Sus scrofa: one gene and its partner. The protein of the gene in region 2 interacts with the protein of the main gene of each other region in a pairwise test. Links are inferred from orthologs where the notes say so. Each region holds a gene or a part of one and is shown on either strand. Other genes may lie near its edges.

Region 1 (3,909 bases), on a different chromosome or scaffold from region 2:
GCTTCTGAGCATGACCAGGGCCAAAGTCAGAGGAGTATTTCCTCAAAATACTTGTGACTGGAACACAGTACCAAACAGAAGCCATATGTGCAATAGGAGGTGTACTTGCAGATTACAGGTGGCAGCTCAAGGTTATGGATGCTACCAAAAAAACACACGAAGAACTTAGGCAGAAGTCTTCCATTAATGAGGTTCGCTATGGCCTTCCTCCTCAAAGCGGAATTTATCATATCACTCAACGGAAAGCAATGGTCAACAGTCATTTCAATTGGTGGGTAATACAAGAGTCATCTGTATTTATCTTTAGGATGCATGGTGGGCTTTTTTTTTTTTTTTTTTTAATCTTCCCAACTGTGCTTGGCTTAGGGAAACATTAAAATTAATTCTCATTCCACCAGCACGGCTGAAGAGATTATCCAGATGCCTCTTCTATTAAAAGAAACTAACAAATTACAAGAGGAAGCTCACGTGCAGAATGTCGACTGTGTTTCAAAAAAACAGAAACTGTCCTTATTGACAGCATTCATACCTTCACAGGAAGAATAACAGTATCAGTAAGAAAGAAGACACAATAGCATTAAGACATAGTAGAGGAGCTTAATAAGGGCCAAAGAAGAATGTGGGATTGTAGGTGGAAGGTTCACCCCTAAAGAAAGACAGCCTGCTCCATGGAAATCAAGCAAAATCATTAGGGGGATGGCAGAGAAAACTCAGCATTCCCTCCAAAGAAATGAGATAACTGCTATAACAAACCAAATATACAAGAGACTCATTAATGCTCTTATCATCCTTACAAGCACACAAGTGATCCAACAGCCAATGCAGACATAAGGTGATGGAGGAGAGGACTGAATAACAGGAGCAAAAGCCTCTCTCTAGTACTGATGCAATCACCTCTGTTAATTCAACGGATATTGACTGAGCACCTACTACATGCCAGGCTCTGTTCCCGAGTCTGAGGACACTGTAGTAAACAAAACAGACAAAAATGCCTGCCCACGTGGAGCTTATACTCTAGTGAAGTATTTAAGATATGTGACACTGGGCAAGACATGTCCTTGGGATGATGAAAGGGCTTGTTATGGAGAAATCAGAAAGAGAAGCACTGCCAATAAAAAGTGAATACACACACAAACACATATACACACATATACATACATATAATAATACAAAATGAAATTTACTAATGAAACTGATAGTGAAACTGAATATATAATCAGAGAGCACACTGTCACAATTTGAAATTATTTTTGCCAAAATCAAGCGCCAGTAGTTCCTTTCCTCTGATGTGGCTTTATATTAGAGGATTATATGTATGAACCAAAAAAAAAAAGTCTTAGTGACCACCACTGTTACACAGTGGCCTGGGATGGAACCAGCATATGTAACCAAAAAATCCAGACCAACAGACTAGTTTCTACTGGATAAAAACTTAAAAACAGAAGAGAATTTACTGATAAATCAATTTATCTGGAAATATATTCCAGGAATGGGGGGGGGGGAAGTGCTGATTACATCAAATGAGTTACTGCAAATAAGAAAACAAGGTTATTCAAGTAAATTTAGGAAGTTTTCTCAGTACATGGGGTAGTGGCACATGTTAAAGCTAACAATTTGCTGATATGTGATTCTGCCATCTTTCCACTGAATTCAAAGGCGTAAATAGCGTCCATTTGCCCTCTTACTAGGCGATTTCACCTCTAACAGGTTAATGGAATACTCTTGGCAAAGGAATTCCACTCTTTGCAGGCTGCATATGAAATAAATGAATGTATAAAAGCAAGGTAAACAAAAACAAGCGCAGGCACAATGCAAATACCGGAGGAAGACACAAGACTTGCAGTTGAAACATTCCAGGTCATCAGTTCTGTCCAGTGGAAAAAAAAAAATCTAAGAACCTCACCATCTAGAGACTTAGAACTCACACTCGGCCCACCTCAGTTTTCAATGGCTAGCCCCCGAGGAGGGAAAAGGAGCCAGCCCTGGCGGTTCCTCTGAGGCCCACTCAGGGCCCAGAGGGGCTAGTTCCCTCGCTTTAGATTGGGTTTGGGGGGTAGCTGGTGGGAACACCTGAGGCTAAGGAAGAGAAACAGGTTCAAAGGCAAAGTTGAAAAAGACGGTGGAGTGACGAGGGCGGAGAAACCGCAGCGAGTCAAAATCAATCACTGGGACAGAGCAGCCGCACGGCGCTGGGGACCCACCGGGCCGTCTCCACTGCCCGAGCCGCCAGGGCCGGGTTCTTCTCGCCCGGAAATTCAACAGCCGGCCGGCGCGGCCGTCGGGGTAGCGGGGGCAGTTCCCGGGAACCCCTCCCGCCCTCTCCCGTCAACCCCGCCCATCGGCCCGCCCAGTCCCGCCCGGCTACTCACCGGATTCGCTTCCCACATAACGGTGGCGAAATCGAGCGGAGAGAGCCTGGGGGAAGGGGCTGGCCACGGGGCCGGGGTGCTGGGTTTTTCCTGAGGGTCCCCGGGAGCGAAGGGACGGAGGGGCAACCTCCACACAGGCCTCCGTCTCCCTCTCCCTGTCACAAGCCGGCGTCTTCGGATCCCCTAACCTCTCGACTTCCGGCCAGAGCCTGCTAACCGGGGCCGGTCCCGCCCCGCCCCCGGAAGCTCACCCCGCCCCTGCCGCTCCCTTCCGGCCTGGAGCGAAGTGGGCGGGGCTTGCGAGGGTCTGGGGTTGTGGGCGGAGCTAAAGGGCTTCAGTCCAACCACAGTCCAGGGCTGCAATCCGCCTGCCATCTCCAAGTGATTCCCAAGCATCCCAGGCTGTAATTCTTCGATATTTCTTGATCACCGTATAGTGGGTGTAGCGGTAAGAGGCAGAGAGGTCTGGGAATGAGTAGCCTGTGGGACAGGCTTCACGATCTGTTTGCTCGTGCTCTGCAGGAGACGATAATAGGGTGTTGTGAAATCATTGGAGAAAGCTAGCACAGTATTTGGCATACAGTAAAAGCTCAATGAGTGGAGATTATTTGCCAGATACTGTGCTAGGCTCTGGAATGAACAAGAGTGACCCGTATGCAGTCCTCATGGAGCTTAGAGTCTAGAGGAAAAAAAATAAGAAGTAATTTAGATAACAGGATGCAAGGGTTCCCTGGTGACATAGCAGTTAAGGGTTCAGCGTTGTCATGACTATGGCTCAGGTTCCATCCCTGGCCCGGGAACTTGCACATGCTGCTTCTGTGGCCAAAAATAACCCCCCAAACAAAACAAAAAAACAAGAATTCAAGCAAAAAGGTACAGGATGGTTTATAGGTAATATGGCAAGTACAGGGTTCTTTGAGAGCATGCTTACCTAGGTAGCACAGAGGGCTGCCTCCCCCCCCCCCCCCCCCCGGTTCCCCCATCCCAAGTTTCAAGCTAAAACGTCTTGGCTGTCCTCCTATTGAACTTATCTGAGTAAAGAGAGCTAGCTACAAGAGGGGAAGAATTTCCTAGGCAAAGAAGTACCATCTACCCATGAGAAATTAAAAAGAGCTAGTTTAAGATCCTTCTTAGCTTTTCTATACCTCCACACATTAAAAAAAAAAAATTTTATTTGATCAAAGAATACCTGCATTTTTAGAGCCTGATTTTTTCACTTACTGTGATATAGATATCCTTCATGCCAAAAAAGTATAATAAATCTATTTCAAAGTAGTGGGGAAAGGATGGATTATTCAATAAGCAACTGGTTAGTCATTTGGCAAAAAGTAAAGTGGAAAAAAAAAAGGTAAAGATCCCTATCTCGATCCATTTACCAGAATAAATTTAGTGATTGTAAATTTATACACTATTCTTGAGTGTAGTTTGGCAATATGAAACAAAATTTCAAATTTCCATTTCTAGGAACTAATGTCAAGGAGGCAAATGGGACAACTGCACAGAAAATGTCTATACAAGAATATTTATTGCTACTTTTTTG
Region 2 (3,909 bases):
CAGGTCCGACTTATTCAGCACCAGCAGGAGGCGCTGGCTGCTCCCATGGGGGCTCCCAGCAACCGTGGGGATGACAACAGTATCCAGGAAGTTACAGCTAGACGAAGAGGTCAGGTCAGAAGCATCCAGCACGGCTAGAATGAGGTCAGCCTGCTCCAGCCTGGGGGAGTGAGAGAATGGAGCTTGGACCCCAGAGTTGAGCCATTACGAGCACTGGGTGGGGACAGGGACAGAGGCAGAACGTTACAAACCTGCCCTCCCCAAATAGCAGACTCTCCACTTGAGGTCTAGTGGCCTTTCCTCATTGAGGAAAAATGAAAAATAAAGGCAAGGGGTTGAAACAGCAGAGGAAGGGCCCTGTTTCCCCTTCCGACCACCCTGATTGCCCACCTTTTTTGGGCGCGCCGTACGCCCTCCTTCTCCACAGGCCCCACGCCCTCCCGCAACCCCGCCGTGTCACTCAGCAGCGCAGGGAACCCGGCCAGGTCCACGGGAGTCTCCAGCACGTCTCGGGTGGTCCCCGGCTCAGGGGACACGATGGACACAGGCTTCTGGCCTGGGGGTGGGGTGGGGTAGGGTCAGAGGCGGGGGCAGGGCTGGAGCTGGCTGGTGTTCTACCTCCCTGGCCCCTTGCTCACCCCTAAAAGCTCAGTACCCCAGCTCCTAGTATACCCCCTGCCCCGGGCCCCGCCCCCCTGCCCACGCACTGAGCAGGTTCACCAGGCTGCTCTTGCCGGCATTAGGAGGTCCAGCAACCACTACGTGCGCCCCTGAGCGAAGCCTCTGTCCACGCCTGGCATCTCGAAGGTGTGTGCCCAATGCCACCTCTAGCTCCCGCACTTCGCTGTCAGCTGTAGATGGAAGAAAGCAGGAGGGAGAGTAAGGGGGTCTCTAAGGGCTGAGATGCCAGATGTCCCCACCTCCCACCCCCAGGCAGACCCACCTTGATCCAGGACGCCCTCCTCTAGGTTGTCATCCTCACCAAAATCAATATAGGCCTCCACATGGGCCAGAGCCTGAAAGAGGTGAGTTTGGGTAGTGTGATCACCCAGGAACCCACCCCCCAGTGTGCCCAGGTCTGGCCCGGCCCAAGGTGCCCGACTGGGCTCACAGGAAGCTCTCATGCAGGTTAGACAGGCAAGTGATGAGCAAATGGTGTACTTGCCCTAGTGAGGGTCTCTGCCCAGCCTTGGCAGAGGTGGCCCAGCTCCCCGTCCAGCTGCCTCAAGGCCTGCCGCCGCTGCGCCTCAGTTTCTGCATGGATCAGATCTGCCAGCCCCTCTACCTCAGTCAGGCTCAGCTTCCCATGGGCGAATGCCCTCCTGGTGAACTCGCCTGCCTCTGCTGGCCGCAGCCCTGGCACACTGCCTGCAGGAAGGTTCAGGGTCCTAAGCCCCTTTTGGTTCCTATCCAGGCCCACTGGTATATAGCCACACCTTAAACCCAAGGCTGCAGACTCACCCAGGGCCTGCAGGACACCACTCACCACAGCTGGGCCTCCATGCACATGGAACTCCGCGCAATCCTCACCGGTGAAACTCTGGGGACCTAGTATGGTGAGGAGATAGGTGTCAGGAGGATACCACCTGGGTAAAAGTCCGGAAGGAGGAAGTTGGGTCATAGAAGCTATATGAGGTTGCAGATCTGAAGTCCCTCACCTGGAAACCAAAGCACCAGCGCGCGGTCCAAAGGCTCCCCAGAGCAGGGGTCGCTGAGGAGGCGCAGGCAGGCTTTGCGGGCCGGGGGTAAGTCCCGGGGCGCCGTAAGGCTCCGGAGGGCGTGCCCGCTGGCTGGGCCGCTGGTTCTAATGACAGCGATGCCGCAGCGGCCTTGGCCAGAGCTCAGTGCGAAGATAGTGGACCCGGGACCCAGGGCCGGGGCGCCACTGCTCTGGCGCGGGCACGGCCTGGAACTGGAAGAGGAGGAGAGTCAGTGTTCTGAGAAACTCTGCCGCCAGAGTGGCAGGTGGATCGAAGGCTAGATGGTCAGGAGATGCCCCAAGTGTAAGTTCTGCGGCCGGGGGGATGAAAAGATTGGAAGGTTTGAGGCCGTAAGATGACTGAATAGAGATGTCTGAGAGAAGTTGATCCACATGTGGGCTCTGCGGCAGGGGGATGGACAGAGCCTTGGAAGAAGACCAAAAATACGGCTCTGCCAAAGGGAACTGGACCTCCAGATCCTAGGGAGAGGATCTGGGCCCCAAGCAGCGCCCTACGCCGTCACACCCCCTCCCCCAAGTGAGAAGCCCCACCTGAGAGGCCCACGTGCCGCCCGGGCTACCAGGGTCCATAGTACCCGCCACATGGATTCACAATCAGCGACCAGCCTTGGCAGCGCCCAGCCGGGGCTAGCCCCGCCCACCTCGCGGCGTGATCCGTAAAGGGCTCAACAATTCTCGGTTACCATTGGGCCCCGTAGAAGACGTACCGCCCACCCACTGAAGATCTTAGCTTCTATTGGCTGATTCCAGGAAAGGACAGGGTGCTAGCACTCCGGGTGCAGCTAAATGGTGTTCCCCCTGCAACATTAGACAGAATTTTTGGGATCCTAGAGCAGCAGGGATCTGAGATACCGGAAAAGAGGGTGGGGGTAAGAACAGGGCTTGGCTTAGGGCGGTGGGAATTATGGAGAAGAAAGGATTTGAGTCCCGTTTGGCCACTACATAGCCTTAGGCGAAGCAAGAGCATCTCAGTGACCGGGAGAGAATTCCGGGGAACCTATGCACTGACCCTGGGAAAATCTTGTCCATACTTCTGGGAAGATTTCTAGTTTTCTCGGAACTCTACAGTTCTCACCCCTCCCTAGATTTCCTCCCGCTGTCTCCATGGCCTCGTATACCCTTCTTCCTCTGACAAGCTCAGCCTCAGTGCCTAGCTCCAAGGTCCCCTTTGCCAGGAAGCTTCCCTAGAACCCCCAGCACAGTCCTCTCGCCCCTCTGGGCTACTCTGGCCCAGGTCTGCTGCTGCAGAGTTGAGTGTTCGGTTGGTCTATGGCTCCCCGAAAGCCAGAGGGGAGTCTCAGAGATTACTTTCAGGTTAACCCAGGACAGCGGCGGCTGATGGAATAAAGCGCAGATGGTGGAATTCCAGGCACCGGACGGGTGGGATCTCAGCAGGACGCTTTCGCACGACTAATTCTCTGGTTCTAGGACGGAGCGGGAGGGCGGCGCTCATATACTTTGGGAAGACGAACAGGATACAGGTCTAAAGACCCCATGCCTCGCTCTGCTCAATTTTTTCATTTGTAAAGAAGGGCAAACGATGACATTCGCCGTCTCCGAGTTCTGTCTGTCGAAAGTATACATCAAGTGCCTACTGTGTGAGAACAGAATTTGCCTGGGACTCTGCGCGCGCTGGCTTTTCAGTCTAATGGAGGAGGCCATTCAGGGTGGTCGGGAGGTCCAAGTGACAGGCAAAATACAGGGCACTCAGTTAAATGTGAATTTCAGATAAACAATGAGTAACGTTTTAGTGTAACTATATCCCATGCAATACTTGGGACATACTGAAAATTTATTCATTTATCCGAAATTCACATTTAACTAGGAGGACTGTAATATTATTATTGTTGTTGTTGCTTTTTAGGGCCGCACCCGCGGCATATGGAGATTCCTGGGCTAGGTGTCGAATCGGAGTTACAGCTGCCAGGCTATGCCACACCCACAGCAACGCCAGATCCAAGCCACCTCTGCGACCTACATCACAGCTCACCTCAGCGCCGGATCCTTAACCCACTGAGCGAGGCCAGGGATCGAACCTGCCACCTCATGATTCCTAGTCGGATTCGTTTCCCCGGCGCCACGTTGAGAACTCCAGAAGGACTGTATTTTTATTTGCTAAATTTGGTAACACAATCAGATCCTCTCTGAGGACGTTACATCTTTAAAGGTGTTGGAGTTAACTGGACAAA

The links.
Region 1: the proteins of GTPBP3 (region 2) and PARP11 interact in binary tests that used the Homo sapiens proteins (3 or more experiments, as listed by UniProt). The two-hybrid records come from large-scale screens. The link is inferred for Sus scrofa from reciprocal best matches to the Homo sapiens genes GTPBP3 and PARP11.

What each region holds. Positions count from the first base shown.
Region 1 is NC_010447.5:66,442,192-66,446,100, reverse strand, and holds the start of PARP11 (poly [ADP-ribose] polymerase 11), read right to left. Parts: upstream 2,619-3,909; 5' UTR 2,388-2,618; coding exon of another isoform or gene 2,370-2,387; intron 1-2,369. UniProt on the Homo sapiens protein: Mono-ADP-ribosyltransferase that mediates mono-ADP-ribosylation of target proteins. Plays a role in nuclear envelope stability and nuclear remodeling during spermiogenesis. Inhibits the type I interferon activated signaling pathway.
Region 2 is NC_010444.4:60,353,001-60,356,909, forward strand, and holds the start of GTPBP3 (tRNA modification GTPase GTPBP3, mitochondrial), read right to left. Parts: upstream 2,404-3,909; 5' UTR 2,305-2,403; coding exon 2,252-2,304; intron 1,913-2,251; coding exon 1,659-1,912; intron 1,549-1,658; coding exon 1,166-1,548; intron 1,017-1,165; coding exon 944-1,016; intron 852-943; coding exon 708-851; intron 557-707; coding exon 391-556; intron 161-390; coding exon 1-160. UniProt on the Homo sapiens protein: GTPase component of the GTPBP3-MTO1 complex that catalyzes the 5-taurinomethyluridine (taum(5)U) modification at the 34th wobble position (U34) of mitochondrial tRNAs (mt-tRNAs), which plays a role in mt-tRNA decoding and mitochondrial translation.